2 linked regions of the Alligator mississippiensis genome follow. The protein of the gene in region 1 purifies or fractionates together with the protein of each later gene. This does not show direct contact. Links are inferred from orthologs where the notes say so. Each region holds a gene or a part of one and is shown in the gene's direction. Other genes may lie near its edges.

Region 1 (10,184 bases):
CGAGGGAGAAAGAGCCAGCAGCATACCTACAGGCTGGGGAACTCCCTTCTTGTCGGCACAGAGGCAGAAAAGGATCTTGGAGTCACTATTGACTCCAAGATGAACATGGGCCGCCAATTAGGGATGCAGTCAGGAAGGCTAACTGTACCTTGTCATGCATCCACAGATGCATCACAGGCAGGTCCAAGGTGATCCTCCCCCTCTATACGACGTTGGTCAGGCTGCAGTTGGAGTACTGCATTCAGTTCTGGGTGCTGCACTTCAGGAGGGATGTGGACAACATGGAGAGGGTCCAGAGGAGGGCCACTCGCATGGTCAGGGGGCAGCAGGGCAGGCCCTATGAGGAGAGGCTACGGACCTGAACCTGTTCAGCCTTCACAAGAGAAGGCTGAGAGGGGATCTGGTGGCTGTCTATAAACTGGCCAAGGGAGGCCAGCAGGCAATGGGAGAGTCCCTGTTCCCCGAGCACTACTGGGAGTAACAAGGAATAATGGCCATAAGTTGATGGAGATAGATGGAGATAGTTGATGGAGTAGATTCAGGCTAGATATCAGGAGGCACTACTTCACTGTCAGGACAGTTAGGATCTGGAACCAACTTCCAAGGGAAGTGGTGCTTGCTCCTACCCTGGGGGTCTTTAAAAGGAGGCTAGATAGACACCTTGCCAGGGTCTTTTGACCCCAGCATTCTTTCCTGCCCATGGCAGGGGGTCGGACTTGATGATCTGCTCAGGTCCCTTCCAACCCTACCAACTATGAAACTATGGACATGGGGCTTCTTCCCTGCCAGCTCCCTTTCCTCTATCATTCTTGATGGGCAGTTTGCTAGTTTAATAATAATACATTACCATCAATATTTATTACTCTTGCTCTGCATTGATATAAAATTCCTTGGCTTTGCCTATATTAGGGAAGTTCTACTGCTTCAGCTACAGCAGTGGTACTGAGGCAGTTTACTGTGTGGGTCTTTTAGCAGATGGGAGATTTTCTGCTGCCACAGCTACAGGAGTTCTCCCTGTGTAGAAGCTCTGTACATCCACACTGAGGCTGTATCTGCACTGCGGGTTTTGCTGGTGAAGTTATATTGGCTCCAGGACACCCTTAGCTGACGTAGTTCTGCTAGTAGAACATTGTGTGGCAACAAGGGTCTTGTCTGCAGCCTTCCAGGCTCTGCAAAGCTCTGCAGTTGGGACCTTTCCAACTACAGTTTATGCTCTGGCCGCTTCTCTGGCTGTCGTTTTCTTCTGCTTGTGATCACTTGCTCATTCTACCCTTTAATCCTTAACTTCCACAGTGTCACACTCCCTTGCTTCTGAGAAACCTCCATTGATAGTTGCCTTCAGTTCTTTATTTCTTTCTAACTATTTTCAGGTCTTTTTCCCTTTCTAGCAGCTGTCTGTTTAAAAAAAAAAAAAAGGGGGTGGGGAGGGATATGTGAAAGTGGTGTGTATATACACAGATGATCTTCCACCAAAACAAGTCTTCCCACCGGAAACAGCAATCAGATGGGAGGGAGGAGAATAGTGATTTTCTTCCATGCTCCAGCATAAACCCAACTTTTGATACCAAAATTTAAAAAGAAATTTGGAGTAGATGCCCTGATCCTGCAAAGATCAAAGCAGGTCTATCTTCTTCTTCAGCAATCCCTTGCAGTCTCAAGGATGATTGATTTCCATGATTGTTTTATCTGTGAATCTGAAGACGGCTGATGTGGCCAATCTAGGATTAACAGACTCTGTTGCAATTTGGGCATATCCTTCTGTGTAGGGTGGGTGGCTACAGATTCTTGATTCAGCCCATGACGCACTATTTATGCTGTTCCCTCTTTTCCACATCTATAACACATAGGGAATCTACTTTTAGACCCTCTAGGATGAAGTTAAGCACTTGCTTAAGTCTTTGGAAGATGTAAGCTGTTAATTCTCTCTTCCTCTTTGGCATACTTTGTTGGGTGTGAAATGGATGCCACTGTTTATATTAAATTAGGTCTTGAGCTAACCCCCAACTAAAATAAGGAAAACAGTTCTGTGAACTATTTCAGGCTGTGTGTACCTCAGCCAGGCCTCATCTTTGTGGGGAAAGTTGTTCTGGTATATCAGTATGTGTCTATGTGAAGAAACGACTGGTATAATTTTAGTGGTACACCTGCTGCACTATATTTACACTGGTGGAATATATGTAGCAGTTCCCAGCCTGAAATGATAGTACAGAACGCCGTGTGCATATCAATCGGGTCTTTTCTGCAGGGGAAATATTACACAGGTATAACATAAAGGGCTTGCCTACATGAGGATATGTACAGTATAATTATTCTGCTATAATTATACCAGTATAACTCCCTACATGGACATTCTTAGCTGGAATAAAAATATGTGCCTGGGCAGTCACAGCCATATAACTGTAGGGATATAATTATCCGAGTACATTTCCTCATGTAAGCAAGGCTTTTCAAATATATATTTAAAACAATATAGTTAAAACATTACAAATCCCTTGTGTAATCTAGGGATATAAGGATGATATAAGGAGGGCTTTTATTGTTTTAGCTTGAGTTAATTGGGAACAAATTTAAATGAAAAAAAAGACTGACTTGATCTACTCTTTAAATCATAATTCATTACAGGAACAGCACTGATTCAGTTGTAGTAGTTTAAAAGCAAATTTAAGTTAAACCCGTAAAACGTGCCCATCTTGACAAGGCTTTGGACATTCCTGCTTCAGTAACATTCACTCTGAAGGTTTTTCTTTTTTGCAACCACCCACACACACTTCTAGACTGCTGATTCTGAACCATCTACTAATTAAATATATTCTAATTGATGCCAGTACATACATCTCTTCTCTCACTGCCACCTTTTCATATAGTATTCTGTAGTCAGTCCTAGTTAAAAAAAAAAGGATGTAATTGTAATAGAAGTGATCCAGAAACCAGGAACAAAAATCATGAAACTTATGAAGAGATTTCAATAGGAGCTGGGAGAGGAGTCTTTAGGATTGTAGGCTGGAGAAACGATGAACAAGAAAGGATATGATAGCTTTGGAAAAAAAGCAAAACAAAAGTACATTTTTTGTCAATTCCAAAGGTTCAAAAATCCTGAGTTAGTCCTCCCCCCAGTCAGTGAGGTTTGTTTAAAAAAAACATATATTCATCTGCATAGTGATTTTTGAAGCCTCCCTGCTGCTCCTGTGTGTGATAATTAATTACTGTTTTTAGTGCTCCTAAATAAGGGGTTTTTTGTCCCTGCTATAAGAGGGCCAAACCACACATTGGTGTTGTCTCCCAGCAGCTCTTGGGGCTCTTCACCCTCACCTTTTCCCCAGGCTGGGAAGGGGGAAGCAATATACTATGTCCTCCCCGCCTTCCTACACTAGGTCCCATTCCTGTGCTTACTGGAGTGTGAAGGATTAGAGGATTCTTTCTTTTCCTTTGTGCTTATATTGTGGCCTCTTGAAGGCAGGGAGAGAGTACTTCCTGCAGGAGCTGTGTTGGCTGCTGTGAGAGGCTGTTTCCTCCCAAGCACCGCTGACATTTAGGTGTGGCTGGAACTTCTACTGTGGGAGACCTGCTCCTGCCCTGCCAAATTCGTGTGCAAAGAATGCACAAGAGCTGGCAACAATTGTGCACGGCCTCAAGCAGGGTCTCTCATTTTCCTTTACAAAGAACAGAAGGGCATTCAATGGGGAGGTAGGAGTTCTGAAGCATATAAAAGGAAACCTCTTCTTACACAGCCTGTGTTTATCAGTGGGAATCATTGCCACAGAATAGAATCAGCTCTTGCCTTGAGCAGGGGCCTGGAGTAGGTGACCTCATAAGGCCCCTTCTGGCCCTATTTTTGTATAATCCTGTGGTTTCAGACCCAGGGCACTCTCAGAAAATGCCAGCTCCTAGTTGTCACTCTTTTTTGACTTCAGAAAAATACTAGAGTATTAGAACAGCAAGACATTGGAATAGCCTGCCCAGAGAAGTTGTTGATTCTCCCATGAACGACTGGTGCCTCCTGAGACAGGGGGGCATCATTTGTAGGCAGTAGCATCGGCGGCGAGGGGGGAGGGAATGGGGTGGTGAGTGGTGATCACCCACAGAAGCTGGCAGCAGCCAATCTCAGGGGGGGCACATGTCCCCCCCCCCCCCAACGCATCGCCTATGGATTCTGTCACTGAAGGTCTTCAAGAAATTGGACAGCCACAGGGCCAGAGCTGATCGAGGCATAGCTATGCCTATATTTTACTGTGGGTATCTCCTCTACTTCTGAACTTTGCCCTGCCCTCCCCCAGCCCCCTTTCTGCTACATGTGTGGGGATGTTTTCAAGCCTCCCTCAGAGGCACTGGGTGTTGGCTACAGCCAAGGCTGGGGACTGTGGGGCGTGCCAATGCTCCTCCTGGGACCAAAGCCAGAGGTTCCTGGCTAGATGGTCTTGCCCCTCTGCTCATGGTCAGACCACTTACTGTATTTGGGGGCAGAAAGATTTTACCCCATAGTCAGACTGGCACAGACTGTGGGTTTTGGGGTTTTTTTAGCCTTAATTCAGAGGGGGGGGGGCAGGGGTCTGTACCCCAGATCTCTTTTGAGCATGTGCTGAAACACATGAAATACACTGAAATACTTCAACTAGATTGAAATAAATAGAAGTAGGATTTTGGCTGCCAGGGGTTCCCCTGCTTTACCTGCAGCAGGTGAGGGCATTAGTTTGTGTTGTGTCAGGGCTGAGCAGAGTTTAGATTATGACTTTATAGGATGGCTGGGATGGCGGTGATGTTGCCTCAGGCAGGGGGCCAGACTGGATGAGCTCTGGAGGTCCCCTCCACCCGACTTCTCTAGGACTTGATGAATTCTTCTGTTGCCAAGACCCCCAGAAAGCCCACAGCAGACGGATGGGCAGAACACGGATTCCTGTGTGCAATCTCCGGGTTTGCCTGGAGTTGTGTCTCTGCACCCGACCCCGCTACCAGCTTGTGGCATCGCAAGCCCCAGGCGCCGTCTAATCCCCGTGTGCTGGGGACCGGGACTGGGACGTGGACCCCTCCCAAGCTCCGCGCTGCGGGCCTGGCCGTGGGGGAGGGGCCATCCCGAGAGGCGACGCGCCAGAATTCGCGCGGGAAGGGGCCGCTTGCAGCTCCCGCGGTTGTTCTGTGCAGGGGGCGTGGCCAGGCCAGCAGCTCCGGCCAATGGCAGCGCGGAGGGGACGGGCTTGGCCCCTCTTCCCGCGTTCATGTACAATGGAGGGCGTGGCCCGGCGGCCACTCGGACCAATGGGAGCGCAGCTCTGAGGCCGGCTCGCGCTGCCATTGGTGGGCGCGGCGTTCGGGCGCCAAGTTCGAAGGGGGATATAAAGGGTCTCGGCCGCCGGCGCCAGTTCCTGCCCTGCGCCCTGTCACAGCCGCCGCCAGCAGCACTAGCATCATGATGCAGCCCGCCCGCGCCCCGCTCTCGGCCCGCAACGACCAGCCGCGCCTGTCGCCCATGAAGCACCTGGCGCTGAGCGACAAGGAGAACACGGTGAGTGCCTGCCCCAGGCCAGCCGGCTTCGGAGCCGCTGCCACCGCCCGCGCCCTGCTCATGCCCCGTTTCCCCTTCTCTCCCCGCAGCCACCGACGTTGAGCAGCACGCGGATCCTGGCCAGCCGCGCGGCGCGGAAGATCTTCCAGGACGCGGACGCCAAGCCGGTGAGTGCGCCCCCTCCCCACACGTGCTCCGTTCCCGCCAACCCCCCCCCCCACGTGCTGTTTTCCCGCCACTTCTCGCTGCCACGGCCCCCCGTGACCTTCCCCGCGTGTCCTGCAGGCGCCGCCGGAGCCCGTCCCGCACCGGCCGGAAGACGAGCCGCTGTTGCGGGAGAATCCGCGCCGCTTCGTCATCTTCCCCGTGCAGTACCACGACGTGTGGCAGATGTACAAGAAGGCTGAGGCCTCCTTCTGGACCGCCGAGGAGGTGAGTGCGGCCCGGGGCATCAGGCAGCTGCTCCCGGCAGTGGGGGCGGCAGCCGGGATCCCCACTCAACACAACTGGGCTCCTGATAGCACCTACCCAGGGACCAGACAATGGCTTTAAAGTAGCCCTGTGGCTTTAAAATGATCCCCATGGCAAAACCCGGGGGGCCGCAGGGGCTTGGAGGTCTCCAATACTTTGATCTGTGGGGTATCAAGCAAAGGAGGCTACCCTGTTGCTGTTCCTTCCAGGGTTCGCTTCTTGCACTCAGCTGGCTGCCTTGAATTTTTCATTTGAGAAGCGCTCAGGTGCATGCACCTGGTGTCTAGTTACATCTGTACATATACACATGCCTAGACACCAGCACCTGAGCACTTCTCAAGTGAAAAAAATTTAAGGTAGTTGGAAACTTCATTGCAACTTGCTATGGCTCTAGGGCAGGGGTGAATAAAATACAGCCTACAGGCTGGATCTGGCCTGTCAACTTATTGGATCCTGCCCATGGACAGGCATCCACCAATTCAGTTGTATCCAGCCTGGCTGCCCCCCACCCCTGCGGCCCTCTGTGTGGGGTGAGTCCTGCCCATTCCTTCCCCCCCACCCACCAGGCAGCACCATCCTAGCCAGTGTGCACAGTTTCACCCACAGAGCTGCTCCTGGTGTAGCTGCAGCTGCCTGGGTGCTGCTTGATTTCCCACCTATCTCCTCTTCCACCTGCCCCTGTACCATTTTGTGGGGATGCATGCTGGGCAGCAGATGCCCAGCCAGGTGTGGGGGAAGCTGCAGCCTGGTGGCTCCTGCCCCAGTGTGTAGGGCTTCATCTCCTAGCTGCCTTCCATCTACTTCAATTGCCTGGCACAATGAGCACCCTGCTAGGCAGCTGACTAGATGGAAGGCAACCTGGAGTTATAGTCCCACATGTTGGCATGGGAGCTGTAACTTCCCCCTTGCTGGCTACATGTGTGGTGCCTCACTGTTTGGAGCAGTGCAGCAGGAGGAAGAGCTGCTGGACATAGGGGGCAAGTAGCACTGGGAGCAGCCCTGCTGGGAAGCTGCGCACACAGACCTTGGCAGTGCTATTTGGCAGGTGGGAATGTGGCATGGGCTGCCCTGGGCAGGAGTAGGTGGGGCTTAGCCCCATGCAGAGTGCCACTGAGGCAGCCTAGTGGGGGAGGGGAGGGTGACGTGTCTGCAACCTGTCTGGACGAGCTCTGTTGCATGCCCTCCACACCCTACACTCGCCCCACATGCCTACTCCCTCACATGTCCCTGAAAGCTTGCAAATACTTTTTGCAAATATCCAGCTGGTCTAATAAGATATCACCTCTACCAAGAGTTCTTATTCCTTCTTGCTTGTAGACCAACACTGCTACAACTTGTACACCCCTCCCCCCCTCCCTTCACAGGCACCTGCATACCCCCCCCCACATACAAGAGTGAGACTGTTTTTGAGCTATACTTTTAGTACACATAGAGGTGATTGCATAATAAGTCAAGGCAAAAATATTTTTTTTTAATTAAAATTAAAGTGCAGTAGATGTTTGGTATTTAGGATCTGATCTGTTAACTTGTTAAAATGATATCGTCTGAAATATTTATGCAGCCTTTGACAGCTTACCAAAACTCATTAGGTGGCCATGCAACTGAAATAATTGCCCACCCCTGTTCTAGGATCACACCTCTAATTTCATAACTGTTTTTTGGGGGCGGGGATTATAGGTTGAAGGAAGACTGAGAATGGGACCTAATGGGTCTAATGCAATATATTAAACCCCAAACCCTATATTTTCCAATCATGACAATGATGAATTGCTGCCTGTTTGGTTTTTTTTGTTTGTTAGGTGGATCTTTCAAAAGATATTCAGCACTGGGAGTCCCTCAAGCCTGAGGAGAAATACTTCATATCGCATGTCCTAGCCTTCTTTGCAGCAAGTGATGGCATTGTAAATGAAAACTTGGTGAGTGTATGAAGAGCAGTCCTGTTTAAATCGTAAGCAGTTGGGCTAGCGTGGAGCTAACCAGATAACAACATAAGATGTTTACTAACGGACTGCTCTGCTCCAAAACCTATTAAACACTTCTGGGTTTGTTTGCTTTTTTTGGAAGGAGGCCTTGTTTTTTCCCTAAAGCCAGCATTGTTCCTTAGACTAGAATCTGCATTTTTGGCAGTAAACTTCCCTGATGAGTACAAAGCAGAGTTTTTGTTTTTCTTTTTTTTATAAAGAGAATACAAAGGGTTGGAGTAGATTGGGTTTTATTCTTCATTCGGTCACTAATTCTAGTTTGGCTTTTAGGCAGATCACTCAGTCTCCAGATCTCCTCCTTTTTAAAATGGAGGCACTTTTCTGGGACACAGAGCCAAAGGAATGCTGGTATTCTAACTTGTGTTACCAGAATAAGTTCTGAATATTGAACTATCCTGTCTTATTCCTAGTTATCGTGACTTACTTAAATATGCTTGTGTGGATTCATAGCTCTGTTGCAACCTGTAGTTGGTTGTTATTTCTATAAATGTTTAATTATTCGGTTTCTCCTTTAGGTGGAGCGTTTTAGCCAAGAAGTGCAGATCACAGAAGCTCGCTGTTTTTATGGCTTCCAGATTGCCATGGAAAACATTCATTCAGAAATGTACAGTCTGCTTATCGACACTTACATAAAAGATCCAAAAGACAGGTTAGTATCATATATCGTAAAAGGCTTAATTATTTTAAGTGGAGGCAAGAAAAGATGGAGAGGTCTGATTTTTTTGGAAGATAGTAAGTTAGGATGGTCAAAGCATTGGTAAACATGGTTGAGAACAATCTGGTGGTAGAGCAGGAAGGCAAAACATTATGCAAACAGAATTTGTCAAGTATAAATGACAAGCGATGGTAAGTTGAAGATGTAGGTAGAACGTTCAAACTATTTTGTTTATGCTGTAGAGGACTAAGCCTTCATTGCATTAGCCAGTGAACAGATAAATGACCCAGTACTGCGTTTCTTTGAGAACTACAACAGCTCTTTTGACTAAATCTCCACTTTGGTACTGCCTTTCAAGGTAACTGAAATATGTGACACTTTGCTGAACTATTTTTAAACCAGTAGTTTCTAATGCAACAAAGCACACATTCCTTTTTGACAGCAACATGTACATAAAGCTTAAAAACTGCCATCCAAAGAACAAGTTCCTTTTTGAAAACTGGTGATGTGGAAATGGGTTAGCTCCAAGACTATCAGTCTAAAAAGTATTACAGATTGAGCAATTAAAAAAAACAACAAAACAAAACCCCACAGCAACAACAAAAACAAAATCCCCCACAATTTTAAGGCTAATTTCAAAGCCATATTGCTGCCTTGTGTGAGGACTGACTGTTGCATTGAAAACCCTGGGTAAATGTGCTCAGTTGATCGGCCAGGATGACAGAGTTGGAGTGGTACAAAAATCTCAGCCCCCAAGGTCTTTACATTTAAAAATACATCAGCTGCAGGCAGTTAAAGCTGCTTCAGTGACAGCACTTTTAATGACAACTCTTAGCAAATGCTTATTGAATAGTCTGCCATGTAGACTTCTGTCTAATGTACTATACACTTTCTTCAGGGAATTTCTTTTCAATGCTATTGAAACTCTGCCATGTGTTAAAAAGAAAGCTGATTGGGCTTTGCGTTGGATTGGAGACAGAAAAGCAACATACGGTGAGTGCAGTTTTGGAGTATGCATTTCCTGGATATTGAATGTCATTCCCATGCAAGCCTTCAGTAGTGATGTTTCCTCCAAGCAGGGGTTGTCAACAGGGTATGTGTACCCCCAGGGGTACTTGAAGGCCCTAGGAGGTATGTGTAGACGGACGGCTGGGGACAGAGCGCTTGCCACCCATCATTCCACACTGCCGCCTCCCAGGAACAGGGATGAGGGCAGCGGCGCTCCTCTGTCCTCTGGCCTGCACAGGTACCAGCTGGACATGGGGAAAGAAGCTAGCATGTGGTGGCTGCTGCTGCTGCCACCCACCACCCTACACTGCCCCTGGTGGCTGGACATGGAGCCACTGGGGTACACTTTTTTTTTTAAATAAGTTGAAACCCCCTGTACTAGAGGGATAGTGTAGCCATGAAGGTCAAGAAAATAGCCAAAAAGTTGGTTTTTTGTGCTATCTTTTATTGGACCACCTGTGTCATCGGGAGAGATGTCAGACAGGCTTTTGGGCAATCATAGATAAATGGTGCTGGAAGGGAACTCTGAGGGTCATCTAGTCCAGCCATCCTGGCCAAAGCAGGATCATCC
Region 2 (10,259 bases), on another chromosome or scaffold:
TTGTTTTTTAGATATATTGGGAGTAAAAGGAAGGCCCAGGGAGGAATAGGACCGCTGCTAAATGGGCAGAAACAATTGGTGACAGACAGGGGGGACAAGGCTGAACTCCTCAACGAGTTCTTTGCCTCAGTGTTCCTAAGTGAGGGACACGACAAGTCTCTCACTGGGGTTGTAGAGAGGCAGCAGCAAGGCGCCAGACTTCCATGCGTAGATCCTGAGGTGGTGCAGAGTCACTTGGAAGAACTGGATGCCTTTAAGTCAGCAGGCCCGGATGAGCTTTATCCGAGGGTGCTGAAGGCACTGGCCGACATCATTGCAGAGCCACTGGCGGGAATATTTGAACGCTCGTGGCGCACGGGCCAAGTCCCAGAGGACTGGAAAAGGGCTAACGTGGTCCCCATTTTCAAAAAGGGGAGGAAGGAGGACCCGGGCAACTATAGGCCGGTCAGTCTCACCTCCATCCTTGGTAAAGTCTTTGAAAAAATTATCAAGGCTCACATTTGTGAGAGCCCGGCAGGGCAAATTATGCTGAGGGGAAACCAGCACGGGTTTGTGGCGGGCAGATCGTGCCTGACCAATCTAGTCTCTTTCTATGACCAGGTTACGAAACGCCTGGACACAGGAGGAGGGGTGGATGTCGTATACTTAGACTTCAGGAAGGCCTTCGATACGGTATCCCACCCCATACTGGTGAACAAGTTAAGAGGCTGTGATGTGGATGACTGCACAGTCCGGTGGGTGGCGAATTGGCTAGAGGGTCGCACCCAGAGAGTCGTGGTAGATGGGTCGGTCTCGACCTGGAAGGGTGTGGGCAGTGGGGTCCCGCAGGGCTCGGTCCTTGGACTGATACTCTTTAATGTCTTCATCAGCGACTTGGACGAGGGAGTCAAATATACTCTGTCCAAGTTTGCAGATGACACAAAGCTATGGGGAGAAGTGGACACGCCGGAGGGCAGGGAACAGCTGCAGGCAGACCTGGATAGGTTGGACAAGTGGGCAGAAAACAACAGGATGCAGTTCAACAAGGAGAAATGCAAAGTGCTGCACCTAGGGTGGAAAAATGTCCAGCACACCTACAGCCTAGAGAATGACCTGCTGGGTGGCACAGAGGTGGAAAGGGATCTTGGAGTCCTAGTGGACTCCAAGATGAACATGAGCCGGCAGTGTGACGAAGCCATCAGAAAAGCCAATGACACTTTATCGTGCATCAGCAGATGCATGACGAATAGGTCCAAGGAGGTGATACTTCCCCTCTATCGGGCGCTGGTCAGACCGCAGTTGGAGTACTGCGTGCAATTCTGGGCGCCACACTTCAAGAAGGATGCGGATAACCTGGAGAGGGTCCAAAGAAGGGAAACTCGTATGGTCAAGGGCCTGCAGACCAAGCCCTACGAGGAGAGACTAGAGAAACTGGACCTTTTCAGCCTCCACAAGAGAAGGTTGAGAGGCGACCTTGTGGCTGCCTGTAAGTTCATCACGGGGGCACAGAAGGGAATTGGTGAGTATTTATTCACCAAGGCGCCCCCGGGGGTTACAAGAAACAATGGCCACAAGCTAGCAGAGAGCAGATTTAGATTGGACATTAGGAAACACTTCTTCACAGTTCGAGTGGCCAGGGTCTGGAACGGGCTCCCAAGGGAGGTGGTGCTCTCCCCTACCCTGGGGGTCTTCAAGAGGAGGTTAGATGAGCATCTAGCTGGGGTCATCTAGACCCAGCACTCCTTCCTGCTTATGCAGGGGGTCGGACTCGATGATCTATTGAGGTCCCTTCCGACCCTAACATCTATGAATCTATGAATCCCCACATTTAGAAGCGTGGTCTAATATAGCAATCTCCAAACCAGTATGCGCCACTAGTGGGCCAGAGAACAACTGGTAGTCTTCAGGGAGCTAGCTGTTCACATGTTTCTGGCTGAAATGATTTATAAAAACAGAACAGATGTGAGGGGGGAGATGAAGAGTAAAAGCAGCTAGCGTGATCAACTTTTTTCAAAAGGGACAACATTTCTCATGAAAAGAAGCTAAAATTAACATGGACAACATTCCCAATATTACTTTTTCACATGAGTAATTGTTCTATGTGCTACAGAGACATTATGTAGCCACAAGTGACAGGGGAAGCAAATTTGTGTGATCAAAATTGAGATAACATAGAATACCCCCATGACAATCTCTTAAAATTTGCACTTTAAAAGTTTGGGGACTCCTTAGTCTAATGGTGATAGCAAGGAAGTGAAGGGTTGCAAACCTCAGTCTTAGTCTCAACACTGCCACAGACTTCCTGTGTGACCTTAGACAAGTTATCTAGCTACTCTATCTCAGTTTCACTATCTGTGAGAGAAAAATATTAATGACACGGTATCCGAGTTCCTCAGAGAAAAGCAAGCAATGCATATATTTATTATCTGACGGTTGGTGAATTTCGCAGTCTCAGTCTAGCTTTAGTGTTTCTCAACTATTTTAGATTCAAGCACCCCTCAAAAAATGCCAGCTCTTAGCTTTCACTTATTTCTCAACTCTGTAACAATAGCTTCTCAACTAGTATCAACAATTCTTCTGTTGAAAAGATTTCAGACCACAACAGGTCAGAATGGTTTTGACACTATGAATTCCCTTTTGAAACTTCTGGGTTTATTTTTTGAATCCTAACAATACTAAAATTGCATGGGCCCCCACAGAGCACTCCTAAAAGGATGCCGTGGCACCCTGATTGAGCATCACTAGTCCAGGTTCCTAGTTAAGATGAGCAGGACCTCCAACCCCTGGGACAGACATTACAGATAAACCAGTTTAAGTGATCAGAAACTGGTTTAAACCTGTAACAGAAGAGATGTTCAGTGCACATTAACCAGTTTGAAAATGGCTGAAACTGGTTTGAGATAAATCTGGCTGAATGTAGTATCAGACTTAACTGATTTGGGCCAAACTGGTCTATGCAATATCTGTCCCAGACCCCATCCTGGTTTAAGGTAAATCAGAATCCCCTAGCATCCAGGCATGCTTACTTGGCTGGGTGGGGCTCTCTGCTCCAGAGAGCTAGGCTAGCTCCTCCCCTGTGCTCCCTGGCTGCAGCTCTGGCAAAGACTGCAGGTACAGTGGGGTCTGCCTTGCTCCCTCGTGCTCTCCCCTTCCCCCTCACCCCCTGCTCAAGCAGGGATCCCCCCTCCCCTCTGTCTTATGCGGACACCTCTCAGCATTAGCTAGCATACCACATGCTGGCTATGGTCTGTGCTGCAGGAGACAGGACAAAGGCAGACAGCACAGTGTCAGCTTAGGGCTTTTGGGAGCTAATCAACAGGTAGCTGGTAATGTCCCTCCTTGGAAAAAGTTGTTTAAGAAGAGCTTGAACTAATGAGAGGCTGTTATTAATAAACACTGAGGGGTGATAAACACTGTGTTATCAACTCCCTGCTGGGCTGTTGCGGGGGAGGGGAACCCCTCCCTAATCGGAAAGTTGCAGCTGAGATGCACTGAAAAGGCAATGTAGGATATTTGATCCCTCCAGCTTTGGAAATAAGAGATCCTAGTTATCAATCTACAACTTTTTACTAGCATCAGAATAATTAATAAAAAAAGAATTTGCTAATTAGACAACTTGTACCTGCATGAAAGCTTTTTACAATCCCTTTTCACATTGCAGGACTTGTGTGACTGGCTGTCCTGTGCATAAGAGACCCAGATGTGCTTTGACAATTCTCTTGAGTAAGCAGAAGTCACCATTCCGTTGCAGAGGCAGAAGTGTAGTCATTACTATGCACCTTTCAGTTTAGGAGCAAACACAAATAATTTTTAAGTGATAGGAGTTAGAAGAAAGTGGCTTTGAGATTTACTTTGTTCACCTTGAAATTAAAAAACACAAAATATTGCTACATATTGAATGTTTTGGTTTAATTTTATATGAAAAGACAAAAGTGCTGGGATATTATAGCTTATATAGCTTTATATTATATAAAATGGACAGAAACAGCTGTACTGGGACATAATCCCCTTCAGAGAATGGGTGCATGACTGGCTTAGGTGTTGTGACCCCCTCTGGTGGGGATGGATATGAGGACAGAGCAGGGTACTAGAATAAAAAAAAAAAACCACAAAAAAACATTGAGCACACATTTCTTTTGTTAGATTTTGGAACACCTGAGATTAAGTGTACAATGTACAAAGCAAATGCCTTTATTATTACTTTCCAAGTTTCCCTAGCTAATTTTCATGAGCTCATATAAATATTGTCTCTCCTTTACTATAATCATCTCCTACTGTCTTAGACCACCTAGTAAATAAGAAACATAAAAGCAGCAGCAATACTGTAAACACACACACAAGGATATGGAAAACCCTACTATCATTTAACATACTAGCAAGAAGAGAGTATCAACCAGTATGAGCTATGTCCTCATACCTAAGGACAAGAAAAGTCTCTCTCAGCTTATGGTCTCCAGAGAACTACTCTACCCTGCAAAGAGCTTTTCTTTCTGTTGTCTTCTTTGTGCACAAACTTGTTAAAAACCCACTAATATCTTCAAGGGATGACAAGTACAGCCCCTTCTGCAGAAGCAGACTTGCTCTCCTATCCATTTTCCTCAAGATGCATCTTCATTCTCTCTCTCTCTCCTGAGCACCTCTGTTACTTCCTCCTAAGGCTGTTTCATTTGTCCTTTTCTTTCCTTTCCCAACATCCCATGTGCTTTGTCCTCCTTTCCCTAATCCTGAAGACATTACTTTTTAACTCTTCTGCTATAGACTTTGGTTCTTTTTCTTTCTGTTTCCCTGGACTTCTTCAGCTATTATCTTTCCCCTTCTGCCTCCCAGTCTAAAATCTTAAGCAACTTTTCCCCATACGCTGTTGACATCGAAGCTCTATTCGGAGGTCCCTAATACTAGAGGTGAAGGCTGGTGCCACTTGGCACGGAAGTCACTAGTTCCCAGCACCTCCTCTTAACCCCTTTTCCAGCTGTGCATACCTGCCGAGCCAGAGGGAGGGGGGGATGAAAACATAGGATGGTCTAGAGCAGCATTTTTCAACCCATGGGGTGCAGCCCAAAAATATATGAAAGGTCTCAAACAATCTCATAAAAATGTGGAAAATCGTGTTTTTTTCCTTTAAAGGAGAAAAATGTGGAAAAGTGTTAGCCTGCAAGCTGCCGGCTTGCAAGGGGCAACACATGCATGTGGCAGCCAGGCAGCTTGGAAAGCAGCTCCTGTAGTTCCCCACAGGTAAGTCTATGGGGGGCAATGTGTCCCCCCAGATTTGGGCATCCGCAGCAGGCACGGGGCTGCAGCCTGGCCTGGCCAGACCAGACCAGCACAGACGTGCGACGCAGCACGCAGGAGAGCGGAGCGAGGCTTGTTGCTGCTGCCACCAGGACCCCAGCGCCAGTCGTGCCACCAGCAGCATGAGGAGTAATGGGTGGGGGCTGTGCTGCCCCCACCTCTACCCTGTTGCATGGCGCAGCCAGTGCTGCCGCCCCCTGCAGGCCGCGGCCCTACCCTGGAGGCGGTGGGCGGCAGGCAGTGCAGGAGGCAGGAGGGCAGTGGTGGCGACGGCGGCAGCAGCCAGGCCATGGTGGTGGAGCAGAGCCCAGCACTGCTGGCGGCGCGGGGGCCCTGTGGTGGTGGCGGCAGCCGCGAGTCTTGTCGCCCTGCTCCGCCCTCCCACGCTGGGTCCCAGGCGCTGGGCTGTGGCGGCAGCTCCTGCCCGTGCCCACAAATCGGGGCATGTGCCTCACACGGGGGGCGTGGGGCACTGGCAGGGCTGCGGCCACTCGTGCTCTGCAGCTTGAGGTGGCCGGAGCGACAGGGGCCTGCGAGTTCCGAGCGCCTCCGCACCCAGCTCTGCCTGCAAGGGCCCCCCATGAGGCGCCCGAGCCCTTCCATAGACAGCACAGAGGATGCACGAAAGGCCCGAGACAGCCTCGCCAGGCCGCGCTCACCCCGCTCCCACACCCCCAGGGGAGGACGGGGCCATTTCGCATGCGCCTCCCCTCGGCCCCAGAGCCCGCGAGCGGCGCGCGCCGCTAACCGCCCCAATTCGAATTCGCATCCTGAGCGCCCAATGACAGAGGGGAGGAGGCGGAGCCGAGGCCGCTCCGCCTGCCCCGCCGGCCTTGCAGCCAATCAGGACGGCTGCTGGGTTTGAAAAAAAGTGCGCGCGGTGGATGGGCGTGGCTTGGGCCGCTCTGCAAGCGGAGGGGGCGGGGTTCTGGCGGCGGAGCAGGGGCCGGGTCGGGGCCTGGGCGGAGCTCGCCTCGCTCTCTGCCCGACCCGAGCTGGGGCTGAGGGGCGTGGCCCGGTGCTGGGGGCGTGGCCCGGTCTGGCCCCGCCCCTGGCCGGTCTCCGCCCTCGGCTCCGGCCGCCTGCTCAGTCTGCACCGGCTGCTGCCCACTCGGGTCGCGGGGCGCTCGGCGCGGGGCAGGCATGAGAGCGGACGGTGAGAGCGGGACGCGGGGCCCTGGCCGGGCTCGCTGCGAGGGGCCCGGGCGGTCGGGTGCGTCTGCCCCAGGAGCTGGCTCCGGCCCGGACAGGGGCCGCCGCGGGGAGCCCTGGCCCGGCCCGGCCCGGCCCTGGTTGGCTGGAGCCCGGGAGCGGCGCTGCTTTGGGCGGGTGGATTTAAAAATCCGCAGGGACTGCGCGGGCCGGGGCCGGGGCCGGGGCCGGGGCCGGTCCGCCAGGGGGCACCTCGGGCACCTCCGCCGGGGGGCGCAGCGGGTCGACGCGGGGTGCCGCGACCATAAAATGCCAGAGCGAAGTCCGAGGTGTGAGCCCGCCGTGACCGGCCAGCACGGGCGGCGGGAGCCTGCGGCCGGGGAGCGTCTGCCGGGCCGCGATGCCCGCGCTGGGCTGCTCCTCTTCCGTTCATGGCGGGGGGGGGGGCAGCAACCTCCTGTCTTGTGCCGTCAAGTCTCTTCCCTCCAAAGGGAGAGGCGGCCCCCCCTGCCTCGCAAAAGTGTTTCTGACTCCTCAGGTGCAGAGCAGACACAGTCTCTTCCAAAGTAAATTACTTATTAGTCACCTGTGGAAGAGCATCTAATTAATGATTATGTAATAACTGTTTTATACATACAGGTGAATCACTTACACCTACATCTTATATTTGTGTGTTTGTTTTCTAAGAATATTTTCCTGAAACCAGGTTACTTTAACAAATTATTATTTTTTAATTGTTCTTTCTGCATAAATGGGACAGGAATATTTAAAAACGCCTGAGATTAATGTATTTTGTTTCTTGCTGCAGGCATGCAGGCAGTGCTAGATCTCTTTCTACAACATATTGCCTTCAGTAACTGAAGGAACTTATAGTACATTTGCCTATTTAATCAGGACTTGCTTGGAATATATTGGTGATACAATCTGTGCACACAGTGCAAACATGCTTGTTTATAGCTCATGTGGCAATTTTTGGTAGTCTTCCTCTTAAATGTTCTTGGCCGGGGGAGCCGTGTTGTCAGCTTCAGTTCTCTGAGCTGATGAGTCAGGCTTCAAATCTGACTAAAGGCATCATTGACACATCAGTCTAGATTGCGTTGCCTTATTACTTTACAGTAGATCTCATTCTAGAAGAGAAGAGGAACACCTGCCAGATAGTGGCAATGTCAGAATTGCCCCTTATCACATAGCTATAATCTTTATTCAAAGGTAACTGACATAGCAAGGGGCTCCCACTGAAACAGTGGCCATTGATCTCAAAAGAATTAGTGGGATGCATTCATTTTTGGTATAAAAAGATGTTCTATTCTGGTGCATAGGATGTGGCCACTTTACTTTGCAAAAATACCTATAACTTGTAGTGGGCAATATAGTTCCTCCAGCTGGGTATTTCCCAATCAGTGAGGCAATTCTGAACCTGCGTCAGTGTCACTGGTCCTAGGGAGGAAGCTCAAAAGCAGCCAATCAGACTTTTTCCCTCTAGCTATCTTGGTTCTGCCCTCCTAAATTATGCCACCCAGTGTTTTCCATGGTGGGAACCAGAGAAGCACTTGGCTGTAGGGTTCTCTGTATGCTGGTCTGTTACAATGTGACAGTGAGAATGGAAAACAGAGCAGGCCAGGAAGGCAATCTACAGAAAATCTCTCCTTCTAGTAGTACAACATTAAAAAAAAACCCCCAAACCTTCACCTCTTTGAAATAGTGAAAAATGGGGGTGGAGAATTTTTTCAGAGAAGTTGGTAGCCAGTGCCTTATACAGTAATGGGTTTCTTCATTCTGTCACATCCTCAGCTAAATCAGTCCCTGTGGCCCTACAAATAAATGATGAAATCCTTGCAAAGGGGTTGTTCCTTAAATCTTCCTGAAAAGTCTGGGGAAAACCCAGCTGATCAGACTTTCTGAATAAATTCAGAATCTCATTGGATAAGATCTATAGGCATTTGTACACATACATGGAACAAGAGTGTCAGGTGCTTTTTAAAAGTGCCTGGTGCTGCATCGCATGCATTTGTATAAATGATGAAAAGTGCATCAGCGCTGAGAAAATGGCAGCAGTGCACTTTTGAACTAAAATGAATCGAAGGTGTTTTAGTTCAAAAGTGCACCGCCGCCATTTTCTTAGCACTGATGCGCATTTCACCCTTTATACAAATGTAGGCGATGTAACGCCGGGCACATCAGATTGTGTGCTCCACAGACTTGATTAACTGAGTCTTCTCGGACACACTGGATTTCTGGCATGTTGGAGCAGGTAAAGATGCGTGTATAAATGCCCTATAAGCTGAACTTTAAAGCTACACTTGATGTTGGCAAGAAGAAAAACTGCTTGGTGAGGAGGCCGATGACTCCCTTTGCAGAATTTAAACTCTGTTTTTTTAAGTGTGTGGTTTCAGCACTTCAAGCCAGGTGAAAAAAAGGCCCCTTTCCAGATGCTGACCCAGTGTCTCTGGTGCCAACGGGCAGTTCCTTCCCTTGGGCTGCTGCTTACAGCTCTACATAGTAGGGCTGTGTAAAACAGCACCGTTCCAATTCGACTTCCATTTTGACAATTCAGCGGAACAGTGTTTCGTTTCGAGTTTCGTTTAGTTTTGTTTCGAAAGCACTGTTCCGTTTCGTTTCGTCAAAAGTGTTTTGCTGTTTCAACACTGTTTTGATGTTTTGCCCATAGGTTATGGGGAAACATAAAATGCAGCAGGCAGGCAAATCGTGGGCTCGCCTGCACCCCTGAGAGTGCTGCCGGGGCTGTGCCGGAGACCTCCCAGGGGTGTGGCCCCTGATCTGCCTGCCAGATGAGAGAAGATTGGTGCGCTGCCTGAGACCAGTGCTGAGGAGATCGCTGCTGCCGCCACTCCCAAGCAGCAGCACCTGGCTCCTCATCTGGCAGGCAGATCGGGGGCTTACCCACACCCCTGGAAGGGCTGCGGGGGCTGTGCCGGAGTCCTCCAAGGAGTGCAGGCTCCCGATCTGCCTGCTAGATGACAGACTGGCACTGGGCGCAGCCTGCACCCAGCACTGAAAAGATCAGTGCCGCCACTGGCACCAGGCGGCAGCACCCAGCTCCTGTCAGCTGGCAGGCAGATAGGGGCACATACCCCCTGGGAGGACTCCGGCATGGCCCCCGCAACCCTCCCAGGGGTGCCGGCGGGCCCCCGATCTGCCTGCCAGCTGACAGGAGCCAGGTGCTGCTGCCTGGGGCCAGCGGGGCCAGGACAGATCGGCTCGTGCAGGGACCCGCCATGCTGATCCGGGGGCAGGGAAGGGTCCCTGCACCAGCTGATCTGCACCTGCCTGGAGCCAGCCCCAGGATCAGGGCAGCAGGTCCCCACACAAGCTGATCATCCCCAGCCCCATACTGAAGCCAGCTCCAGACGAGTGTGGGGCCTGGGGCAGATTAGCTTGTACGGGGACCCTCCTCCGCCCTGGGATTGGGGCAGTGGGTCCTTGCATGAGCTGATCTGCCCTGGCCCGCTGGCCTCAGGCAGCAGCACCCAGCTCCTGTCAGCCGGCAGGCAGATCAGGGGCCTGCCGGCACCCCTGGGAGTGCTGCGGGGGCTGTGCTGGAGTCATCCTGGGGTTATGTGCCCCCAATCTGCCTGCCAGCTGACAGGAGCCAGGTGCAGCACTGATCTTCCTGGTGCTGGCTGTGCCCAGTGCCAGTCTGTAATCTGGCAGACAGATCAAGGGCTCGCACAGCCCCCCACAGCCCTCCCGGGGGTGTGGGCGAGTCCCGATCTGCCTGCCAGATGACAGGAAGTAGGTGCTGCCAGCTGGGACTGGTGCTGAAGCCAGTAAGCCTGGCTTTGAAACTCGAAATGTTTCGAAACTTTTCGAAATGTTTT

Evidence for each region.
Region 2: the proteins of RRM2 (region 1) and CCNF purify together in Homo sapiens (affinity purification with western blotting; 5 studies listed by BioGRID and IntAct, with this or other methods). This does not show direct contact. The link is inferred for Alligator mississippiensis from reciprocal best matches to the Homo sapiens genes RRM2 and CCNF.

What each region holds. Positions count from the first base shown.
Region 1 is NC_081824.1:30,487,247-30,497,430, reverse strand, and holds the start of RRM2 (ribonucleoside-diphosphate reductase subunit M2), read left to right. Parts: upstream 1-5,348; 5' UTR 5,349-5,401; coding exon 5,402-5,497; intron 5,498-5,586; coding exon 5,587-5,664; intron 5,665-5,782; coding exon 5,783-5,929; intron 5,930-7,767; coding exon 7,768-7,884; intron 7,885-8,465; coding exon 8,466-8,599; intron 8,600-9,503; coding exon 9,504-9,598; intron 9,599-10,184. UniProt on the Homo sapiens protein: Provides the precursors necessary for DNA synthesis. Catalyzes the biosynthesis of deoxyribonucleotides from the corresponding ribonucleotides. Inhibits Wnt signaling.
Region 2 is NC_081836.1:27,359,524-27,369,782, reverse strand, and holds the start of CCNF (cyclin-F), read left to right. Parts: upstream 1-6,317; 5' UTR 6,318-6,411; coding exon 6,412-6,424; intron 6,425-10,259. UniProt on the Homo sapiens protein: Substrate recognition component of a SCF (SKP1-CUL1-F-box protein) E3 ubiquitin-protein ligase complex which mediates the ubiquitination and subsequent proteasomal degradation of target proteins.